Linked DNA regions of Anolis sagrei. Each later gene encodes a partner of the first gene's protein in a complex. Links are inferred from orthologs where the notes say so. Each region holds a gene or a part of one and is shown on either strand. Other genes may lie near its edges. The genes, in order: NCOA5 and ESR2.

Region 1 (12,616 bases):
GACTACTGAAGACTAGCCCAGTGACTGACTGGGGAACAGCCAGTTTGCCAAGGGAGCGTATTGTCCACATTGTGCAAAGAGCACCACATTCTATTCTGAAAGATACTAGGGAAGTATCCTGGGTAATGTATCCTTGAAAGAAGGTGTTGCTGTGATGGCACAGCTTCCAGATAAAGAGAGCTGGGATTAACCCACCGTGACAATCCACAAGTGGCAAAGACAAGAGCCCAGGCTGAAGGCAGAAGTCTATAAGGAAAGAAACGCTCCTTCCACCAGTATAAGCTTTCGCAAATGCAGCATAACAGGCAAATATGGAACTATGGAACGACTTGACGATGCGACTGGAAAACGAGTTTGGTGAGGAGACGCTGATTTTTTTTTATATTATATGCTAAATGGTTTTAACTGTATTTTTATGTCTGCATTGAATTGTTGCCGACTGTAAACCGCCTTGAATCGCCTTCAGGCTGAGAAAGGCGGTATACAAATACCGTAAATAAATAAATAGAATGGGAAGATTGGGAAAGAAGTGCAAAAACAGTTTCTGATATGGTTTATTTCACAGCATGATCAATAACATAATGGTACAAGCAACCAATGTTTTTAACAGTTTTACGTTATTTATATTTTTATTTGTTTTATGTATACGATGTTTTGGGTTTCATTTGATTGTGTATGCGGCATTGAACACTGCCATGTTGTATGCTGCTCTGAGATTCCCTTGGGGTGAGAGAGAGCCGGATATAAATACAGCAAATAAATAAATAAATAAATAAATAAAGTAGTTAAATCCGTGTGATAAAATAGTTAAATAGTGTGATAAATACTTAAATCCATGTGAAGAGCCTATAAGCAGAGTAGACCTGTTCTACTGGCCAAAGGCAACATCTATATTCTGCAAACCCATCTAATGTCACTGTCTAATGTAGTCGTACTTTATGGTGCACTACAAAGACCTACAGTGTTCACTGAGAACATTAAGGGAGGCTCAGGGTGCAAGAATTCTGCTGCACAGACACCACTGGGATTTTACTCTCTACAACAGTGGTTCTCAACCTGGGGTCCCCAGATGTTTTTGGTCTTCAATTCCCAGAAATCCTAACAGCTGGTAAACTGGCAAGGATTTCTGGGAGTTGTAGGCCAAAAACATCTGGGGACCCCAGGTTGAGAACCACTGCTCTACAACCATGTTTTAGTGTTTCCTGCATGACAACACAAACCTTGATATCATTTATTTATAGCATGTATTGATCCAAGTTTTCCAAAGCATACAAAGTCAAACAAAATATAATTTCTCTTTCAAAACAGCTGAACAGCAAATTTAAAATCCAACCGCCTTTAATCTGCTACAATATCAGTGGCTTCCATTTCCAGTTTATCTATCCAAACCACAGCCCTAGACCTTTCTGCCTCCTGCCTAACAGCACTCTCTGGAAAAGGCTACTCTCTGTGGCACCCAGTCTTTGCTAAATCCCACCTCCACAGTGGAGGAGTGAGACCAAGGAACTATCAGAGAAGAATATGAGCTTATCTCTCTCCAAACTCTTTCAAGGCTAAGCTTGGGAAGAGAGCTGGCCCTTGAAAATATGGGAAGGGATCCTGGGTCACCAGGCATAATCCCAGTGAAGCCATTTTGAGGCTATGCTGACCATATCTCCTTGGGGGGGGGGGGGGGAGAGGAAGGGACAGGGCCTACATTACTAATTGCAGCAATAATATGTTTCATGCTTATGTCTATGTTTGATGTTTTTATAGTTTAGTTTTTTATCTGCAGTTATGTTATTGATTTAGATATGTGATATTTTAATATAAATGTGAATTTGCCATTTATTATGTTTTAAACCGCTTTGAGTCCCCCCCCAGGGGTGAGAAAAGCGGTAAACAAATGTTGTTAATAATAATAATAAATAAATAATTCTGCAAAAAAAAAAGAGGTTCAGATGTGCCTTAGGACTTGGCCCAGAAAAGGATGGAACTTTTGCCCTTGGCATGCTCATAGAGGGTGGAGCCTTCTGCCTCTGCATTGAGGGTCCCTGCTTTGTTGGAACCAAAAAATCATTTGTTATGAACGAATGCAACGCTCGTAGCATCTTACCCAGTCCTACCATGCCCCCCCCCCCCTTTATGGGCAGCACCACTATCAGCATCAAGGTCAGCCAACCTGCCTCATCAGCTTCTCTGGAAAAAGGAATTCAAAGTAGGTCACATCATAGGTGCATGTATGGATGTGTATTACTACTACTGCTATTTCTTAACTGCCTGTCTACACAGATAACGTGGGGAATAACACTGCATTAAACTACCTTACATACCACCAGTTAAAAATATGGATAACATGAACATAAGAGCGTGCAAGATCAATATATAGGCAAACAATTGATCCATAGTTTAAATTCATTATCTAAATTCATCCTTTAAATACCATCTGTTGGAAGAGACAATCTTTCTTGCTATTTTAAATTCAGGCAGTGCATCCAGCTGAGTGGAGTAACCATCTCCCTGAGGTGGATTATATGGGAGGAGGGGATACTGGGCTCAGACCATGCAGGTCTTCAAAGGTAAGAATCAAGAGTTCTCTGTACTTTGTTCAGAAACGTAACTGGCAACCAGTTTAATATAATTGTAATATCACCACTCCAAGATGTAATAATGACCAATCTGACTAAAATAAAATATAGCTAAAAACAATTGTAAATATGAACATGTAAAGCAATATAAACAACCTTCAACAGGATCCTGTTGGTGGACAATGTTCTCTTTGAAGCAAATCCTCAGGTGAAGGAACCCGCTTTCCCAACACAAGACAAATGGTGGATAAATATCTGTGATATCCCCAAAATGGAGAGTCCGACTATGCTGATTATGGAGAATTTTTTGCTCAAATATTGGGACTTGCTCATTTTCATAATAATGATGGGAGGAAATGCCAACTATAGGATTAATGAATTTCTACCAGAAGTAGAAATGTAATTATATATTAGCATCTAAAGAGAAATTTATTTTTATTTAACTTGTCAAAAGCAAATTGAGAATACAGTTACAATGTATAGAAAAACCTCAAAGTTAAAACATGGCATAGGGAATAGAATAATAAGGGATAAAAATAATCAGATTGTGAGGAGGAGTTTTATAAAATTATTTCCTTGGCTGTCTGTTTGTTAGCGGAGTTTGTGCAAGTCTACCTGAATAAAATCTTTTTATTCAGGCAGGCTTTTAAACAAGCCAGGGAGTGCTATGGGTTTTAGCTTTGAACATGTTTTTATTCATTTTTTAAGGATTTTGACTATTTTTAGCACAATTAATATTTAATACTATTTCAATGTTTTTATATTTTTATGTTTTAAATTGTATTGCATTTAGTTTTATTGTAAGCTGCTTTGAGTCTCTTTTGTAGCGAGAAAGCGGGGTATTAATAAACATAATAAGATTAATAATAGGTGTGTTTTGTCTGTTTTAGTTTTGTAGTTTGTTGTAGTAGCTAACAATAATTTTATTCCTTACCCATCTCTCCTCATTGTATATACAATATATTACTTATCATTACTATATTATTATACAATAAATATATTACATAAATATATTATGTTTTTATATAATTATAATTGTAATAGATTACACGGTGTGACACTGTGATTTTTGTTCCTGGGTGATAAATGTCACTATTTCCTGGTCCATGAGGTCACGAAGAGTCGGAGATGACTGAACGAATGAACAACAAAACTATTATTATTATTCAGTTCTTGTGGGTTTTTTCGGGCTATATGGCCATGTTCTAGAGGCATTTCTCCTGACGTTTCGCCTGCATCTATGGCAAGCATCCTCAGAGGTCTGATTATTATTATTATTATTATTAGAGTCTGAATTTACTTCAACCCAGTTTGTGGCAGCCACAAAATCAACCAAGTTCCTGGAGTAGAGCAACTATTTTCAAAGCAAGGTCCGCACCATGAAACAGGAAATCACACTTTCAAACCAGGGACAGAACATTTTTCAAATTTTGACATAATAGTGTTTACTAGCTGTCCCCTGCCAGGCGTTGCTGTGGCCCAGTCTGTTGATCTGGGAAATAAAATAATGTGAAAGTGTTTGTTTCCAATATATGTAATTTCTTTCTGCTTGTGGGTAAACAGTATTTCTTGCTGTTTCTTTGTCAGTGTTGATGTGGAGAGTGTCTGGTTTGCCTACTCTGGAACATGCAACATATAATTGTACTTCTTTAGAGGTCCCTTTGAAATCTATGATACTGCATCTGTCACATACATATATGTGTGTGTCTGTGAATCATATATTTCTATCTATATCTATGGCTGGATGGCTCTTTGTCAGGAGGGCTTTGATTACGTTTTCTTGCCCCGATGAAGGGAGTTGGATTGGGTGGCCTTAAGTATTTTCTGATCGTCATAAGGGTTCTGTGTGGGAAGTCTGCCCCGATTCTGTCATTCGTGGGGTTCTGAATGCTCTTTGATTGTAGGTGAACTGTGAATCTCAGTAACTACAACTCCCAAATGTCAGGGTCTATTTCCCCCAAACTCCATCTGTGTTCATATTTGGGTGCGTTGAGTATTCATGTCCAGATCCATCATTGTTTGAGTCCACAGTGCTCTCTGGATATAGGTGAACTACAACTCCCAAACTCAAGGTCAATGCCCACTAAATCCTTTCAGTATTTTCTGTTGCTCATGGGGGTTCTGTGTGGGAAGTTTGCCCCAATTCTGTCATTGGTGGAGTTCAGAATGCTCTTTGATTGTGGGTGAACTATAAATCCCAGCAACTACAACTCCCAAATGATAAACTCATAATGTTTTGAGTGATGGTCACTCCTTGTGTAGTGAGACGTTTTGTTGCCAAATTTGGTGTGATTTCGTTCATTGGTTCTTTTGTTTTTAAGGCACTCATTATGCACAGAGCATTTATATATAGATAGATATAGGGAAGTGCGTCATCAGGAGGGGACGCGGGTGCCTTCCTTGTCGCGCCAACCACTGCGCAGGCGCAGAAAGGAACCGAGCCCAGCCCTTGCCGCTCCGCCGCCGACGCGCATGCGCAACATGGCCGTCCGCTCTCGCGCATGCGCACAGCTCGGCGTGTGTGGGGGAGGGGTAGGAGGAGTTGCGCGCGCACTCTCGCCTCAGAAAGAGAATTCGCCCGGCCCGGCCAAGTAACCGACGGGGAAAGCCCCTTTGCCCCGGCCTCCCGCTTTCCCCTCCGCGGCCCTGCACTCACCGAGGAGGCCTGCGCGGGTCTCTCACCAGCGACGAAGACAAAAGGGCGCCCAACGGAAACCACGGCTTCGCTCGCTCTCGTTCTGTCTCAAAGCGCAGGCGCCCACGCCGAGCGGTGATTGGCTGCTCGCGGAGGGGCGTGGCTCCGCCGCTTCTCCAATCGGAATTCCGGCCTCTGCAAGCTCCGGCCAATCACCAGTCGGGGGCGTGGCTAGCGGGATGCCATCTAGTTCAACCCCCTTCTGACTTCCTGCAGGAAAAGCATAATCAAAGCACCCCTGCCAGATGGCCATCCAGCCTCCGCTTTAGTATTATTACTATTATTATTATTATTATTGGTACTACTCTTTATTATTATAGATAGATAATAAGAGTTGGGGGAGACCTCTAAAGGCCATCTAGTCCAACCCCCTTCTACCTTCCTGCAGGAAAAGTACAATCAAAGAACCCCTGCCAGATGGCCATCCAGCCTCCGCTTTAGTATTATTACTATTATTATTGCTACTACTCTTTATTATTATAGATAGATAATAAGAGTTGGGAGGGACCTCCAAAGGCCATCTAGTCCAACCCCCTTCTGCCTTCCTGCAGGAAAAGCACAATCAAAGCACCCCTGGCAGATGGCCATCCAGCCTCTGCGTTATTATTATTATTATTATTATTATCATTATTATTATTATTATTATTAATATTATTATTATTGCTACTACTCTTTATTATTATAGATAGATAATAAGAGTTGGGAGGGACCTCTAAAGGCCATCTAGTCCAACCCCCTTCTGCCTTCCTGCAGGAAAAGCACAATCAAAGCACCCCTGCCAGATGGCCATCCAGCCTCCGCTTTATTACATTATTATTATTATTATTATTATTATTATTATTGGTACTACTCTTTATTATTATAGATAGATAATAAGAGTTGGGGGAGACCTCTAAAGGCCATCTAGTCCAACCCCCTTCTACCTTCCTGCAGGAAAAGTACAATCAAAGAACCCCTGGCAGATGGCCATCCAGCCTCCGCTTTAGTATTATTATTATTATTGGTACTACTCTTTATTACTATGGATAGATAATAAGAGTTGGGAGGGACCTCTAAAGGCCATCTAGTCCAACCCCCTTCTGCCTTCCTGCAGGAAAAGCACAACCAAAGCACCCCTGCCAGATGGCCATCCAGCCTCCGCTTTATTACTATTATTATTATCAGTATTATTATTGCTACTACTCTTTATTATTATAGATAGATAATAAGAATTGGGAGGGACCACTAAAGGCCATCTAGTCCAACCCCCTTCTGCCTTCCTGCAGGAAAAGCACCATCAAAGCACCCCTGCCAGATGGCCATCCAGCCTTCGCTTTATTATTATTATTATTATTATTATTATTATTGACACCATTTTCTAAGCCAGTCATTGACCTGTACTATTTTTCTGGCCCTTGTAGGACCGTGTTTTACGACTGGGAGGAGGGATGAAAAGACCACCTGTACATTACATTGTTTTAGCTTTGTTCCGAGAGCTCGAAAATCATTTGTGATCTTTCAAAAAGTATGCCTAGCAGTATCATTGGTTCCTACATGAACCAATGATAATTCAGATAATTCTCCCAAAGGTGCCTCCTTCCTTCCAGTGGAAAGTCCCCTGCTCACCATGAGTTGCAGCTGGTTGATGTCTCAATCTTGCTCCCTTTCCCCAAACACTGCAAGCTATCTATCTATCTATCTATCTATTTATCTATGGCTGGATGGGTCTTTGTCAGGAGGGCTTTGATTATGTTTTCTTGCCCTGGTGAAGGGAGTTGGACTGAATGGCCTTAAGTATTTTCTGTTGGTCATGGGGGTTCTGTGTGGGAAGTTCGGCCCAATTCTGTCGTTGGTGGAGTCCAGAACACCCTTTGATTATAGGTGAACTATAAATCCCAGTAGCTACAACTCCCAAATGTCAAGGTCTATTTCTCCCAAACTCAATCTATGTTCATATTTGGGCATATGGGATATTCATGCCAAGTTTTGGTCTAGATCCATCATTGTTTGAGTCCATAGTCTTCTCTGGATGTAGGGGAACTACAACTCCCACACTCAAGGTCAATGCCTACTAAACCCTAGAATTCCCTCTGGAACTGCCCTGGCATGACCTGCGGGCCTTGCCCTTCTCCAGTTCTTGGATGGGAAGCCTTCTTCCTTGTGTCATTCCCCGTGGATCCTGTTGGCATCCGTTGGTTGGCTCATCCGTGTTTCCAGCCACAAAGGTCACTTCACAAGGCAGGCTTTGTGCTTTGTTCCCTGCTGAGCGCCAGGAGTTCGGTTGCCCAGTTTCTCTTGGAAGGGGATATAAAGGCAGGAGGTGGCAGAGCTGGAGCTTCACTGGTCTTGCCTCACCATGAAGTCCTCAACCGGCTTCATCATCATCATCCTCCTCGCTCTCCTGGCCTCCTCTGCCGTGACGCCCGCTCCCCCTGGGCAAGGTGAGTAGTCCAACTGCATCAATAGGAGGATAGTGTCTAGATCTAAGGAAGTAATGCTCTCCATGCTCTATTCTGCTTTGGTTAGACCACATCTGGAATATTGTGTCCAATTCTGGGCACCACACTTCAAGAGAGATATTGACTCTAAGCTGGAATGTGTCCAGAGGAGGGAGACTCAAATGATCAAGGATCTGGAGAACAAGCCCTATGAGGAGCGGCTTAAGGAGCTGGGCATGTTTAGCCTGAGGAAAAGAAGGCTGAGAGGAGATATGATGAGGGCCATGTATAAATATGTGAGAGGAAGCCACAGGGAGGAGGGAGCAAGCTTCTTTTCTGCTTCCTTGGAGACTAGGACGCAATGGAACAATGGCTTCAAACTACAAGAGAGGAGATTCCACCTGAACATGAGGAAGAACTTCCTGACTGGGAGAGCCGTTCAGCAGTGGAACTCTCTGCCCCAGAGGGAGTGTGGTGGAGGCTCCTTCTTTGGAAGCTTTTAAGCAGAGGCTGGATGGCCATCTGTCAGGGGTGATTTGAATGCAATATTCCTGCTTCTTGGCAGAATGGGGTTGGACTGGATGGCCCATGAGGTCTCTTCCAACTCTTGGATTCTATGATTCCCTGGGAATCCCCTTGAAGGCACCTCTGATCTCATTCTAGATTATTATTTATTATAATTAAACTTTATTTGTACCCCACTAGCATCTCCCGGAGGATTCGATGCGGCTTACAACAGGCCGAGGCCGCAACAATACAACATAACAATATAAACACGCAAATCAAGCAAGTAAAACAAAGCAAAAATAAACAACAAGCAAAATACATTAAAACACAGTAAAACTGGGCCGGGCCAAAAGGTGGGTACAAGCGTTAAAAGTGCTGATGTGACAGGAGGTGTATAAAGGGCTTCTAGGGCAAGTGCGATGTGCAATGTGCATCAATCAGTTCTGGTAAAGTGCTTGTAGGACTCGGTAGTGGAGATTTCCTAATCTGGGAAGGCGCATCGGAAAAGCCAAGTTTTTAAGTTCTTTCTGAAGATAGCCAATGAGGGGGCCTGTCTAAGGTCTTTGGGGAGGGTGTTCCAGAGTTGGGGGGCCACTACGGAAAAGGCCCTGCCCCGCGTCCCCACCAAACGCGCTTGCGACGCAGGTGGGATCACGAGCAGGGCCTCTCCAGATGACCGAAGAGAACGCGTGGGTTCGTAGATGGAGATGCGGTCACGCAGGTAGGCTGGTCCCAAACCGTTCAGGGCTTTGTAGGTAAGCACCTGCACCTTGAATTGGGCTCGGAATATGAACGGCAGCCAGTGGAGTTCCTTAAACAGGAGGGTTGACCTCTCTCTGTAAGGGGCCCCCATTAGCATCCTGGCTGCCGATCATTGGACCAGTTGGAGCTTCTGAGCCGTCTTCAAGGGCAGCCCCACGTAGAGCGCATTGCAGTAATCCAATCTGGATCTCGCTTCTCATACATGCACGCTCTGGGCCAGCTTCCTTCCTCTGACCCTCCAGGTCCCTCAAGGCCTAGAGACCAGACCAGACCAGAGCATGGCAGAACGGGCCAGATTGTGGAGGTCAAGAGGCCCCACTGACCATCATCCCTGCTGTTTCCTCCTCAGGAGTGGTTGCTCCTCTGCTTCCCACCCACTGACACCACACAATTGCTCGCATCCCAGCTGGCAGTTGCGGTCCTTTGTTATCTCAGAAAATCCCTCCAACTTGAAGACAGAAGGATCTTACTTTAAAAGTGGAGAACAGGGCACTACGGTCTGGCCTTGTCAGAACCAGGTGCCAGTGATATCGAGCTGCTTTTTGTAGGGTCTCCCGGCGGAGGAGATCCCTGAGGACCGCTCAAAAGGGCCCTGGACCTTTGGTGAGGCTAGCGAGAGCCAATCCAAAGAGTAAAAAATATTACAAATAATAATGCCTCATCCAAGTGGAAGAAGTTTTTCAGCAACCGAGGTTTATTTGTGATTCAGCTGAGATAAGATGCATTGCAGGAATCATTCCACTGCAAGCATAATTTTCAAGCATTTTTATAGTACACAGACAAAGGAAAACAGTTTCAAAACTCCCGCCCACCCTCTGTCAGCCGGCTTCGTGCTGATTGGCTGGCCACGGAACAGCTGGGAGGAGGCTTGGCAGCACGCCTCGCCTCCGGACCAATCAGCGGGCTCCGCTGCCTCTGGGAGGCCAATCAGTGCCTTCCTAGCGCCTCTGAAGATGGACCAATCGGCAGCTAGGAGGCGGGACGAAGCCAACAATGGCTGAGGAAATGATCAGCTTAGGGGCATCCGCCAGCTGGAATGTGTGGCTTTGTCCTCACTTGGCGGGGTGTCAGATAGAGGAACAATGAGTTTCCTGGTCTGTTGATGGGATTTGGGAAGAAATATGAAAAGGCTTTTTCGGTATCGGACCTCAAAGGGGGATCAACAATACCTGGTTGATTAAATCAGTCTTTGTTTCCGAGTTCCTGCTGACCCCCTCCCCTCGCTGGTCTGCTCTGAGGGCCAGGGTTGGGGGGAAACAACAGTATGGTCCATGCAAATGAAACAATCGGGAAGAGTTTTGGGAGGACAAAGGAGTTCCTCTTCAAGACAGTAATCCCCAGGTCACATCTTTATGGGGCAAGGGTCAAAGGGAAAGGCGGGAAGGGGAAACACAGCACATTCTATATGATATTTCATTACATACATTTCATATATTTCATAAGGCAATCCCATCCCCATCCCCAGCAAAGTTTATTAAAACAGCTCGTTTTTCTATTATTTGAAATAAATTCATGGTCTCCTGGTGAAGGCACACGGAAACGGAGGCTGCTTGCTCTTCAGGGCAAGCCTGATCTGAAGGTTTGTGTCCAAAGATATGGCAGAAAACAGTCCGGGACGTGGAGCAGAAAGTCAATAGGAGAGGGCAAAAAGAGTCCAAGGAGGATTTCCGGGTTGCAATGGTGGGGCAGTGTCCTTGTCTGTCCTTTGGAAAACTATGTCTCCCAGGTCAGAGACCGGGACCCGTGCCTGGCTGCCTTCCCGGGGTCTCCTGCGGGTGGCCGCAGTGGGTCCCCGGTTGCTGGATCCAGGCAGGGAGCGAGCAGCGCTGAGGAGAAACGGGCTGTCTTGGAAGAACCCGGCCAAATTGACAAACAGCTGATTTCTGTCAAAGTAAAATACTTTAAACAAAATGATTATTCCCCGAGCGCAGGAGTCCAAAATGAGGAAAACATGATGGCAGTTAGTCTTAGAATTAAGAGCAGAAAAATACAAAATTTGAACGGCGTCAATCCGCCATTTTACTGTTTTAGTGGGTACTGGGGTCCAAAATGGCGGTTTCCGTATCCGCGATTCTTCCGAACGCAGATCCAGGGTCCAGGGGGGGGCAGTGGGCGCCCCCCAGCAGGCTCACGGCTCTTCAGAGCCTGGAAAAAGGGTTATTTTAATGTTGAATTAGTCTGAGGCAGGAAAAGATACAAAAGTATCAAGCGGAAAGATTAAATGTTGCAAGTTTCAAGTGCTTTATTAGGGAAATGATACAATGTAAGGAGAAGGGGAAAGCAAAAGAAAGCTGCAGGCATTCCTGGTTTTGAGCTGGCTGCTGGGGCACATTTCATCTGTTGGTCCCCAAAACTTGGTCCAGGAACTGCGGAACTCTCCGCTGCAGCTCACACCAATGTGAAGGCGGGGCTCCCTGCCGTGCTCGGGCTCACCAGTAGAAGAACACAACACGCATGCGCTTTGCATTAAAACTGGGTTGTTGTAGGTTTCTCAGACTGTATGGCCATGTTCTAGAACAGTGGTTCTCAACCCGGGGGTCACGACCCCCAGAAGGGTCGATTGGCTGTTTCCAAGGGGTCATGACGCCACCTCCTTTGGCCCCACCCCCTCAGCCTCCCTGCAATGGCTGCCCGGACAGAGACACCAGCAAGACCTGCCTTTGTCCCTCTCCCTCCCTCTAGAACAGTGGTTCTCAACCTTCCTAATGCCGTGACCCCTAAATCCAGTTCCTTGTGTTGTGGTGACCCCCAACCATATTTCCATCGCTACTTCATAACTGATACTATTATGAATCATAATGGAAATATCTGATATGCAGGATGTATTTTCATTACAAATTGGAACATAATTAATGCAAAATTAATTAATGTTTGGAGGAGTGTGGACAATGGATGATGGGATCTGCAGTACCTTCAACTGACTCAGCTCTGACTTCCACAGACCACTGAGACCCCCACAAATAACATACATGGGCCAAACCCGACACACGGAACCCCCATTACCAAAAGAAAATACTGGAGGGGGTTGTGAGGAATTGACAGGGATTGATGAGAGACGTAGAACATGGCCAACATAAGATACTGGAAGGGTTTGGTGGGCATTGATCTTGAGTTTGGGAGTTGTAGTTCACCTACATCTGGAGAGCACTATGAACCCAAACAACTATGGGTCTGGACCAAATTTGGCACAAATGCTCAATATTCCCAAATTTGAACACGGGTGGAATTTGGAGAAAATAGACCCTGGTATTTGGGAGTTGCAGTTGGGTGGATTTATAGTTCCCCTTCGATCAAAGAGCCTTCTGAACTTCACCAGCACCCTGAGGATGACACATGGAGGTGGGGCCTCAGGAGGCAGGGCCGTGACCCCTCGAGAATTGCCAAATGACCCCTCTGGGGGTCGCGACCCCCAGGTTGAGAACCACTGCTCTAGAAGCATTCTCTCCAGATGTTTCACCTGCATCTGTGGCAGGCATCGTCAGAGGTTGTGACAGTGCAGTCTAGGATTGTGTTGGCATTTTTAGCTCCCGCATCACGCTGTTGGCTTATGTTCAACACTCCTAGATCCTTTTCACACCCACTCCTTGCCTGTTCACCCCCAAACAAGACCCTCACCTGCCCCCCCCCCCCAAATCTCTGTCTTGGAGGCCAAAGGGTGGCAGTGGAGT
Region 2 (11,976 bases), on another chromosome or scaffold:
GGAAAACACAAGCAAAGCTGTCCTGGAAGATGGCCATCTAGTCTCCTTTTGAAAGCCTCCAAAGAAAGGAATTCAACTACTCCCCAAGACAACATACTCCAACAGTTCTTATCATCAGGAGATTTTTTTTCTAATGTTTAGGTGGAACCTCTTTTTCATTAGTTCCAATCCATTGCTTTGTGAAATGTAATTGAAATGAGAATTCTTATCATTGGTCCGGTCAAGCAAAACACATTGAAATTCAGACATGAAAGGACCCTTCCACACCGCCATTTAACCCAGAATATCGAGGCAGAAAGTCCCACAATATCTGCTTTGACCTGGGTTATCTGAGTCCACACTGCCATCGATTCCAATTCAATGCAAAATATGTGGGATTTTATTCAGCTGAGTAGGAGGGACCAGAGTGTCAAGGGAAGGCTATTTCAGTGTGCCACTCTCTTTAGGAATTATACAGAGGAGTTTGGATCCTGGCTGTGGTGCAGCTAGTTAGTAGCCGATAGGTCATGAGTTCGAAGTGAGCCCGAGTTGGAGTGAGCTCCCAACCATTGATAGTCAAGTTTGCTGTTGACCTATGCAGCCTGAAAGACAGCTGCATCAGTCAAGTAGGAAATTTAGGTACTGCTATATGTGGGGAGACTAATTTAACTAATTTACAACACCATAAAACCTTCCAGCAGTGTTGGTAAAAATGAGGAAGTACTCCATCAAGGACTCGGTGTCAAAAGTGGAAGGTGCAGCAACAGCTCCCCCTGTGGTCTAATCGAGCATACCCTCATGAAGCCAGAAAGCTAGAATGTTAAATTATCTGTCTATATATGTTGTATGTCTAATGGCATTGAATGCTTGCCATGTGTATGTGCATTGTACTCCTCCCTGAGTCCCCTGTGGGGTGAGAAAGGCAGAATATAAATACTGTAAATAAATAAATAAATAAATTTGTTGTTATTATTGTTGCCTTCAAGATGTTTCCAACTTGTGAATGTACAGCCAGGGATTTTTCTGGATCTGTGACTCACTTAAAGTCATACAATGGGTTTCCGTGGTCAAGCAGGGAATCGAACTCTGGTCTCTGGAGTCATAGTCCAACGCTCAATCGATCATACCATGCTGGCTCTTGGATATAGATATAGGTACATGCAAACGGGTTGGAAAAAAGGACCCTCTTTTCCTTTAAATCCTAAAAACATGTATACAATGATCAAGGGATCCAACTGAAGGGAGTAGATTGTGATACACAGAGGAAGCAAGGATCCCCACAATCAGTGGAAACCACCTTTTGTGAGCAAAACAATTATACTAACAGAAGGCAAATTCTAGAGCTAGTCCCATGTGCATGATTCACTTGGAGTGTACTCTTTTGAATAAAATGCAAAAGGACCTTGTAGCATGATCCTGCATCAGATGTAGTGACTGAAGTCTACAAAAGCATCTGCTACCAACTACTGTCTCTCAGTACGCTGCTGTGAGTTTTCCAGGCTGTATGGCTATGTTCCAGAAGCATTCTCTCAGAATACAGAAACAAAAATTACATCAGAGGTAATTACAGTAGCCAGGCATGTAGCCCGGGGGGGGGGGGGGGAGGCTTGGGGGGCTTCACCCCCCCCCCGAAATTCTCATGGTGGTTCGCGAAGAGGCCTTACTGGTGCATTATTTAAACTGTTATGTTTATTCATATCATGATCTGATCACCATACTCAATATATCCCATATGCATGGGGGTATTGGGGTAACGATGCAAAAGGTTTGCTAGGCTAGACCCTGGGCAGGCCAAATGGACAAGATAAAATGATAAAATAATAAAAACCCTGGGTGAGGTAGGAATAAAAATATGTAAGTGAGGGGAGCCCAATACTGATAAGAACAGTGGGGCAAGGCTTTCAGTTTAGGACAGGGGGAAAGTGCATCATAGAGGCGAAGAGAGTGGGACTATGATTTCCCTCAGTCTAGACCAGGCATGGGCAAACTTAATCCCTCCAGGTGTTTTGGACTTCAACTCCCAAAATTCCTAACATCCTCAGGTTCCTTCCTTTTCTGCTCAGCCACTTAAGGGCTGAGGCCGGTTGAATTCCAGACAAGGATCAATCAGGTCCAGCTAACAGCTAACACTTCCCAGCAAAAGATCCCCCAGGCAGCAACCAGCCAGACTTTGAAGCTACAAGGCCATTACACTCTAATCAAGGTGTCCAATTGCAACATTCACACAAGCAGTCAAGAGTTCTTTCTCCCTTCCTGGACATTCCACAGACATACAAACCTCATTTGCCTAGTTTCCAACTTTTTTTTTTAATTGTGTCAGGAGCGACTTGAGAAACTGCAAGTCGCTTCCGGTGTGAGAGAATTGGCCATCTGCAAGGACGTTGCCCAGGGGACGCCCGGATGATTTCATGTTTTTATCATCCTTGTGGTAGGCTTCTCTCATGTCCCCGCATGAGAAGCTGGAGTTGATATAGGGAGCTCATCCGCCTCTCCCCGGATTCAAACCTGCGACCTGTCCTGCCGGCACAGGGGTTTAACCCACTGTGCCACCGGGGGCTCCCTGATCTCACAACCTATGAGGATGCCTGCCATAGATGTGGGAGAAACATCAGGAGATAATGCTTCTGGAACATGGCCAAGCAGCCCAGAAAACTCACAGCAACCCAGTGATTCCAGCCATGAAAGCTTTCGACAACACATTCTTTCTCGCAGTCTCAAAGGTGCCAAAAGATCCCTTTGCATACTTATAATTGTAGTCTCAATTATAAGTATGCAAATGGATCTTTTGGCACCTTTGAGACTGAGAGAAAGAATGTGTTGTCGATATGGCTATGACTCTGAATCCTACTGTCATTGGATAAGGATGAAACAAATGTTTAAATCTCTCATTAACATCAGTGGAATTTAGTGGAAACATTTCTGTGCCCATTCAAATAAAAGCCATTGAGATCAACAAAGTTTTTTCCAGATAACCACATATAGGATTGCTACGCTTAATGCTTAATACTGGATGGCTCATGGACAACTATCCATTACTACAGGTTATCAGTTCGATAGAGAAGCATCAGAAATTAAAAGGGCATGAATAGATGACAACATTCATAATTAAGCAAGTAATTATATTAATCTCTTTTCATGCCATTCCTAAGAAGGGAGACTGTAGACACATACCAAGAAATATCTGTGGCTCATGCTAAAATCTTCAAGATTTCCAAGAAATAAATCCCACAGGATGCAAGGGGGTTTGTTTCCGAGTACATAGTTTGGACTCTCTCCTTCACAGAGCTGACAATAACACAGGACTAAAAAACAACACAAGACATTGACTGCCTCAGTTCCTCGGGGCTTAGGGTGGACCCAGTTTGACTAGCTGCCCAATCTCTCCAGTTTCTCCATCACTTTGGCCAGTGTTTTCAAACACTTCTGCCATTATCACACAATCTTCTCTGGGGGTTGGGACCCCTGGGGGAGGGTTGCAAGTGGGGTGCCAGAGGGGTCACCAAAGACCATCAGAAAACACAATATTTTCTGTTGGTTTCGGGGGGTTCTGTGTGGGAAGTTTGGCCCAATTCTATCATTGGTAGGGTTCAGAATTCTCTTTGATTGTGGGTGAACTATAAATCCCAGCAACTACAACTCCCAAATGTCAAGGTCTATTTCCCCCAAAATCCACCAGTGTTCACATTTGGGCATATTGAGTATTCGTGCCAAGTTTGGTCCAGACCCACCATTGTTTGAGTTCACAGTGCTCTCTGGATTTAGGTGAACTACAACTCCAAAATTCAAGGTCAATGCTCACCAAACCCTTCCAGTATGTTCCGTTGCTCATGGGAGTTCTGTGTGACAAGTTTGGTTCAGTTCAATCATTGGTGGAGTTCAGAATGCTCTTTGATGGTAGGTGAACTATAAATCCCAGCAATGACAACTCCCAAATGCCAAGGTATATTTCCCCAAACTCCACCAATATTCATATTTGGGCATATTGAGTATTTGGCTTCAAACTACAAGAAAGGAGATTCCATCTGAACATGAGGAAGAACTTCCTGACTGCGAGAGCCGTTCAGCAGTGGAACTCTCTGCCCTGGAGTGTGGTGGAGGCTCCTTCTTTGGAAGCTTGTAAACAGAGGCTGGATGGCCATCTGTCAGGGGTGCTTTGAATGCAATATTCCTGCTTCTTGGCAGGGGGTTGGACTGGATGGCCCACGAGGTCTCTTCCAACTCTATGATTCTATGCTAAGTTTGGTCTGGATCCATTATTATTTGAGTCCACAGTGCTCTCTGGATGTAGGTGAACTACAACTCCAAAACTCAAGCTCAATGCCCACCAACCCCTTCCAGTATTTCCTATTGGTCATGGGAGTTCTGTGTGCCAACATTGGTTCAATTCCATCGTTGGTGGAGTTCATTTGATTGTAGGTTAACTATAAATCCCAGCAACTACAACTCCCAAATGACAAAATCAATCCTCCCCAACCCAGTATTCAAATTTGGACATATCAGATATTTGTGCCAAATTTGGTCCAGTGAAGGAAAATACATCCTGCATATCAGATATTTATATTATTATTCATAACAATAGCAAATTTACAGTTATGAAGTAGTAATGAAAATAATGTTATGGTTGAGGGTCACCACAACATGAGGGACTGGATTATCATAGAATCAAAGAGTTGGAAGAGACCTCATGGGCCATCCAGTCTAACCCCCTGCCAAGAAGCAGGAATATTGCATTCAAATCACCCCTGACAGATGGCCATCCAGCCTCTGTTTAAAAGCTTCCAAAGAAGGAGCCTCCACCACATTAGAAAGGTTGAGAACCACTGTCTTACTACTTCATCACACTAGAGAATGAATCCACTTTAAATCCGGTTTCTGCCTCCTGCAGAATTCTGGGGTTTGTAGTTTAGGGAGGACCCTTTAGGAGCCTCACAAAACTACAAACTCCAGAATTCTGCAGGAGGCAGAAACCGGATTTAAAGTGGATTCATTCTCTAGTGTGATGAATTGGTTAGAGGAAAATAAATCACACTCACGCCCAGCAGTCCCAAGAATGGTAGAGTTGGAAAGGACCCCAAGGGTCATCTAGTCCAACCCCTTGTAGACCAGTCAATCAAGAAACAAACTTCTTCTAGGATTCCTTTCCAGCAACTCTCCAGAGAGCAGACTTCCAAAAGCAGAGGAAAGGTCCCTTTCCGCTTTTATATATATATAAAAAAATCAATCCATGTACTATTTGATTCCAAAATGGACCTCCATTCCTCATGATCTCCAAGGGGTCTTTTCCACTCCATTAGAGTGGCCAGTTCATTCACAGACATTTCCACAGCAAGGACTTACCGGAGAGCTTTGGAGTGCGCAGTCGAGGAGGCGCATCAGGATGCCTCCTCAGCTTCTCTTCTTTCGCCTCTTCCTGGCTTTTTCCACCCTCGAAAGGCACTCTGGCTCTGGGGACAAGTCGTGGCTGGTGCCTCCTTAGTGTCTTTCCAAAGCCCTACAGCCTTGGAAGGATCCGCGACCATCACACGCGCGTCCGCAACCCACGCGCGTGTTTTTTCGCCATCCCTCCCAGCCAAGGCAGGAGTTTGCTGTAAGTAAGTTCCTCCTCCTTCTCTTCCTCCTCCTCTTTGCCGTAATAAATTGGAGAAGCTGGCGTGAGTCACTCACTCCCTGGCAGTGCCAGCTCCCATGCCCAAGAGGAGGACTCTCCTCTGGTGACCACAAGCAGGCAGGAAAGGAAGGAAGGAGGGACCAGCCAGCCGCCCAGATAGGTGATCATCCTCATGGCGGGAGAGCACTCCAGGCTCACCTTGGCCACCTCTTCCTTGCCCACTGGGGACTTTCAAGTCTCCTGTCAACTGGTGGCCACCCCAGGAATGTAATCTTATTTTCTCATTTTCTTTTATAAATATGTATTACAGTTTTTCTTTAGAACATAGAGTCAAACAGAAAAAAGAATGAAGGAAATAAAGGGAATTGAAAAATAAATCAAAAAGAAGGAATCATAGAATCATAGAATCAAAGAGTTGGAAGAGACCTCATGGGCCATCCAGTCCAACCCCTTGCCAAGAAGCAGGAATATTGCATTCAAATCACCCCTGACAGATGGCCATCCAGCACCTGTTTAAAAGCTTCCAAAAAAGGAGCCTCCACCATACACCGGGGCAGAGAGTTCCAACTGCTGAATGACTCTCACAGTCAGGAAATTCTTCCTCATGTTCAGATGGAATCTCCTCTCATGTAGTTTGAAGCCATTGCTCCGCGTCCTAGTCTCCAAGGAAGCAGAAAACAAGCTTGCTCCCTCCTCCCTGTGGCTTCCTCTCACATATTTATACATGGCTATCATGTCTCCTCTCAGCCTTCTCTTCTTCAGGCTAAACATGCTTAACTTGTTTAACTTGTTGTCCACGAGGACTCCAAGATCTTTTTCACACGTACTGCTCTCGAGCCAGGCGTCCCCCATTCTGTATCTTTGCATTTCGTTTTTCCTGCCAAAGTGGAGTATCTTGCATTTGTCACTGTTAAACTTCATTTTGTTAGTTTTGGCCCATCTCTCTAATCTGTCAAGATCGTTTTGAATCCTACTCCTGTCCTCTGGAGTATTGGCTATCCCTCCCAATTTGGTGTCGTCTGCAAACTTGATGATCCTGCCTTCTAGCCCTTCATCTAAGTCATTAATAAAGATGTTGAACAGGACCGGGCCCAGGACGGACCCCTGTGGCACTCCACTCGTCACTTCTTTCCAAGATGAAGAGGAAGCGTTAGTGAGCGCTCTCTGGGTTCGTCCATTTAACCAATTACAGATCCAAAGAAGGGGATCACACAATGAAGAAGAAAAGGGGGGGGGGGACACAAGATACATTACATCTGCATTAAAGTAAAATTAAGATACATTTACATGTAAATACAAATTTATTTGTTTATTTATTTACTATATTTATCTACGGCTCTTCTTAGCCCTTAGGCGACTCTGAGCGGTTAGCAATAGCAAAACAGCGCCCCTTACTAGATCTTAAACACCTTCATGTTTCAAAGCCTGTCTGAATACAAAGGTTTTGATGTGTACATAATATCCTACTCCTAACCAACAATGTGTTGCAACTTATATCTCATTTTTCAGATATTTTGGATTTGGAATCAATTGAGTAGTGTGACTGTCTGCATGTCCAACATTCAAATAACTACATCACTTTGTTCTGAGACCATTCAGCCATGGAAACCCATTGATTAACCTCGGGCAAGTCATTCTCTCTCAACCTCAGAGGAATGCAGAGGCAAACTAGCTCTGAACAAACCTTGGCAAGAAAATTCTGTGAGAGGCTTGCCTTTGGGTCGCTGTAAGTTGGCAATGCGTTGGAGGCACACAACAATACTAGCACATATGATCCTGGCAATTGTAGATGTGGATATTGTGCAGGAGGGGGGAGAACTCCCTGTACCTTTTAGTTGTGGTTGTGTCGTTATAATTTCTAACACATTAAAGAAACTAAAATACAGAAAATGGGAACAGTTTGACTTGCTCAGACGAAGAAGGTGGAAGGCTCCAGACGATGATCTTTGGTATTAGAATGGAGGGAGTCCTAAGTACACAAGAGTGCCTGTAATATTTTCCTCAGCACTGACACATATGGTGTTATCTGCTTTCCAACACAGTGTTTGCTGCCCACCCTGTTCTTCTGACACAAATGAAATCACAACTACACACAAGCAGCCCCCAAAATGTTCAGAATCCTAGAGGAGAAACTAAAACATTGTATGAAAAGCGTCTGTACGCCCAGCAAAGGCAGATTGTTTAGTTCCTTTTATTAATTTCTGTACAGGCAGCTGATTATTTTCTTATTTTTCAAGGAAAATATGCGATACTTGCATGTTTGTTCAAACAAATTTACAGATACCTTTCTTCCATTTCTTGTCATTTGACAAAATAACACAATGTGGATGGAATGAGGATATCATAGAATCATAGAGTTAGAAGAGACCCCAAGATTAGCCTCTACTTCAATGTCTATCCAAAGCCAAGGCATTTATTTCAACAGCTTTTGAGAATAGGTTCTTGTGGGTTTTTTCGGGCTATAGGGCCATGTTCTAGAGGCATTTTCTCCTGACGTTTCGCCTGCATCTATGGCACGCATCCTCAGAGGTAGTGAGGTCTGTTGGAATTAGGACAATGGGTTTATATATCTGTGGAATGGCTGGGGTGGGGCAAAGAGCTCTTCTCTGCTGGAGCTAGGTGTGAATGTTTCAACTGACCACCTTCATTAGCATTTGAAGGCCTGGCTGAGCCTGGGAAAATCTTTTGCTGAGAGGTGTTAAGATGTCCCTGCTTGCTTCCTCTCTGTTGTTGTGCTGTTGTAATTTTAGAGCTTTTTAATACTGGTAGCCAGATTTTGTTCATTTTCATGGTCTCTTCCTTTCTGTTGAAATTGTCCACATGCTTGTGGATTTCAATGGCTTCTCTGTGTAGTCTGACATGGTGGTTGTTGGAGTGGTCCAGCATTTCTGTGTTCTCAAATAATATGCTGTGTCCAGGCTGGTTCATCAGGTGCTCTGCTATGGCTGACTTCTCTGGTTGAAGTAGTCTGCAGTGCCTTTCATGTTCCTTGATCCGTGTCTGGTCAATGCTGCGTTTGGTGGTCCCTCTGTAGACTTGTCCACAGCTGCATGGTATACAGTAGACTCCTGCAGAGGTGAGAGGATCCCTCTTGTCTTTTGCTGAACGTAGCATTTGTTGGATTTTCTTGGTGGGTCTGTAAGTGGTTTGCATGTTGTGTTTCCTCATCAGCTTCCCTATGCGGTCAGTGGTTCCCTTGATGTATGGCAGGAACACTTTTCCTCTGGGTGGATCTTCATCTTTACTCTCGTGGCTTGTTCTTGGTCTTGCAGCTCTTCTGATGTCTGCGGTGGAGTATCCATTGGCCTGGAGAGCCCAGCTTTTGAGAATATTTTTTTAAGAAACACCTTTTTGTAGCATTCTGTACAGTCTTCAATTGTGTTATCTTCAAATGTCTTTTCATTAACTTTTAAATAAGTGCTTCCAAGTTTGGTTTTAGTGTTATTCATAGTTTCATTCCAACATGATGTCAGCCTTTTGTAGAAAATCATAGAATTGGAAGAGACCACAAGGGCCATCTAGTTTAACCCCCTACTATGCAGGAGCACACAATCAAAGCACCCCCTACAGATGGCCATTCTTCTCTTTAAAAAAAATCTCCATAGAAGACTCTACTATGTTCCGAAGCAGCATATTCCATAGCCAAAAGGTTCTTATAGTATCATAGAATCAAAGAGTTGGAAGAGACCTCATGGGCCATCCAGTCCAATCCCCTGCCAAGAAGCAGGAATATTGTATTCAAATCACCCCTGACAGATGGCCATCCAGCCCCTGTTTAAAAGCTTCCAAAGAAGGAGCCTCCACCACACTCCGGGGCAGAGAGTTCCACTGCTGAACGGCTCTCACAGTCAGGAAGTTCTTCCTCATGTTCAGATGGAATCTCCTCTCTTGTAGTTTGAAGCCATTGTTCCGCGTCCTAGTCTCCAAGGAAGCAGAAAACAAGCTTGCTCCCTCCTCCCTGTGGCTTCCTCTCACATATTTATACATGGCTATCATATCTCCTCTCAGCCTTCTCTTCTTCAGGCTAAACATGCCCAGCTCCTTAAGCCGCTCCTCATAGGGCTTGTTCTCCAGACCCTTGATCATTTTAGTTGCTCTCCTCTGGACACACTCCAGCTTGTCAATATCTCTCTTGAATTGTGGTGCCCAGAATTGGACACAATATTCCAGGTGTGATCTAACCAGAGCAGAATAGAGGGGTAGCATTACTTCCCTAGATCTAGACACTATGCTCCTATTAATGCAGGCCAAAATCCCATTGGCTTTTTTTGCCACCACATCACATTCTTACTAATGTATAGTTGGACTCTTTTTTCCTGCAGTTTGAAACCATGTCTCCAAAGTAGTCACATATTTAAACATGTCTATCATGTCCTCTCTCAGCGGAAGCTCACCCTGAGAGATATTCAGGGTTTAACCCTATTTAAGATATAAGGTCCTACATTTCAAACAGGGTCTTTGAAACTGGGACTAACATATGCCACTGTCTTACTGACATGAAAGCAACCAGCTGCCACTGAGGCCCATCTCCACTGCCATATATTGCAGTTTCAGAATGCAGTTTAACTACATGAACTAGATTTTATGGCAGTGTTGACTCATATAATCCAGTTCTTAGAATCATAGAATCATAGAAAGGGAGGAGACATGTGCTATCCAGTCCAACTCCCTGCCAAGAAGCAGGAAATTTGCAATCAAATGACCCCCGAAACTGCATTGTGTCGCAGTGCAAATTCAGTCTTAGTCTCAATCTACACTGCCATACAATGCAGTTTGAAAATGCATTCTATGGCCAGTGCAATTCAGTGAAGACTGGCAACCCTATCAGGAAATTTTGAAAAGAAAATCGGAAGCAAGATTGCTGTTACAATTCTTCTTCGCATTGGTGATCACTGGATGGAGAGGGTTCTAAGTCCTGGGAGACATCTACACTCTCAAATTAATGCAGTTTGGTGACAGTTGAACTGCTATGGCTCAATGCTATATAAGCCTGGTGTAGTGATTTCAGCCAGAACCGCGGTTAGCGAGTCTGTGCCCGGAAAGCGTATGCTAAACCAAATAAGCCAGGACAGAGAAACAACTCAGCAGGTTGAAGACAAAATGATGTTACTGAAAAGGGTGTATTTAAAGTCAACCTGCCACATGGCGAACATCAGGACAAAGCTTTTAAAAGGAAAATAAAACACATGTCATATTCCTGAATAAAACTAAATGGTCATAAATGGATGGCTTCTCCCCCTAGGAAAAGGGTGAGAGTACATTAGCAAGAGAGGGAAGACTGGCAGGATATTGTCCATCCTCCACTCTGAATCATGCAGGTTTTTAAATCTGAAGCTTGCAACCAATAAACAGTCTGTCCCCACTGTGACAGTTTTGCAAATGGTAATTATAGAGCAAAAATGATATGCTGGGAATAATAATAATAATTTTTGTCTCTGTGTAAAATAATGCTCCATTTTGTAGAGTCCAGTTTGGAGTGGTTATAGTCTCCCAACTCAGGAAAAAATGTTGGCTTTCCTTTCACTGTACCCTTTCTGCCTTCTTCCATTTCAGTCAGGATTATTGTCAGATTATTTTCTTCAGGAATGTCTTTGCAATTCGCTAGCTGTATTTATTATTGTTGTTGTTGTTATTATTATTATTATTATTATTTATTTATTTATTTTATTTACTTTACTTATATACAGCTGTTCTCAGCCCGAAGGCGACTCACAGCGGTTCACAACAAATAAGAACAGCAAAAATTCAATGCTACAGTGTAAAAACAGTTAACAACCTAACAGTTAACAACCTATTATTATTATTATTATTATTATTATTATTATTTGTAATACTGCATTCATAACATTACAGATCTGGGCCCAAAAAGTGTGGTTCTTTTTGTTCAAACTCCTTAATTATTTTGAGTAATGAAGGGATTGTGTGCCACGTGTGATCCAGATCCAACAAGCCATGGAGGAACCTTTGTGGTACAAACAGACAAGCCAACATACATACAAACTTTGACATTATATATAGATATAAGTATAGATATATAGATATAACGCAGCCTGCATATGTTTGTTCTTGCAAAACTCAAAAAGTAGTCGGTCGATTGACTTAACATTTTGACACAACTTTGCATTCCAAGCCCCCATGACCCACTTTACCTCCTGGTGCGGTTTGGGGGAGGATGGACCACGGATTTTGTATTTTACAGTAATAGCAGACAGAGCGGCTTTGGTGCAAAGGGCAGATTCTCATGAGAATGTTTCTGTCAGGCCTTGGGAGAAAGGTTTACTCCCTCTGCCTGTGAGCTCGCCAGATTCTAATTGGGAAAACAGTCTGACACCTGGTAAAGTTAATGAGGAGGCAGATAAGCAGAGTCGGTGGCTGGAAATTGGCCAGAA

The links.
Region 2: the proteins of NCOA5 (region 1) and ESR2 are in contact, whole or in part, in a crystal structure (PDB 4ZI1), measured with the Homo sapiens proteins. The link is inferred for Anolis sagrei from reciprocal best matches to the Homo sapiens genes NCOA5 and ESR2. Residues at the interface, in NP_066018.1 of Homo sapiens: Ser344, Leu345, Ile346, Leu348, Leu349, Ala350, Asp351; in NP_001428.1 of Homo sapiens: Ile310, Lys314, Phe319, Leu324, Gln327, Val328, Leu331, Glu332, Leu490, Glu493, Met494.

The regions. Positions count from the first base shown.
Region 1 is NC_090024.1:248,049,207-248,061,822, reverse strand, and holds the start of NCOA5 (nuclear receptor coactivator 5), read right to left. Parts: upstream 5,320-12,616; 5' UTR 5,224-5,319; intron 1-5,223. UniProt on the Homo sapiens protein: Nuclear receptor coregulator that can have both coactivator and corepressor functions.
Region 2 is NC_090021.1:330,449,535-330,461,510, reverse strand, and holds the start of ESR2 (estrogen receptor beta), read right to left. Parts: upstream 5,577-11,976; 5' UTR 5,317-5,576; intron 1-5,316.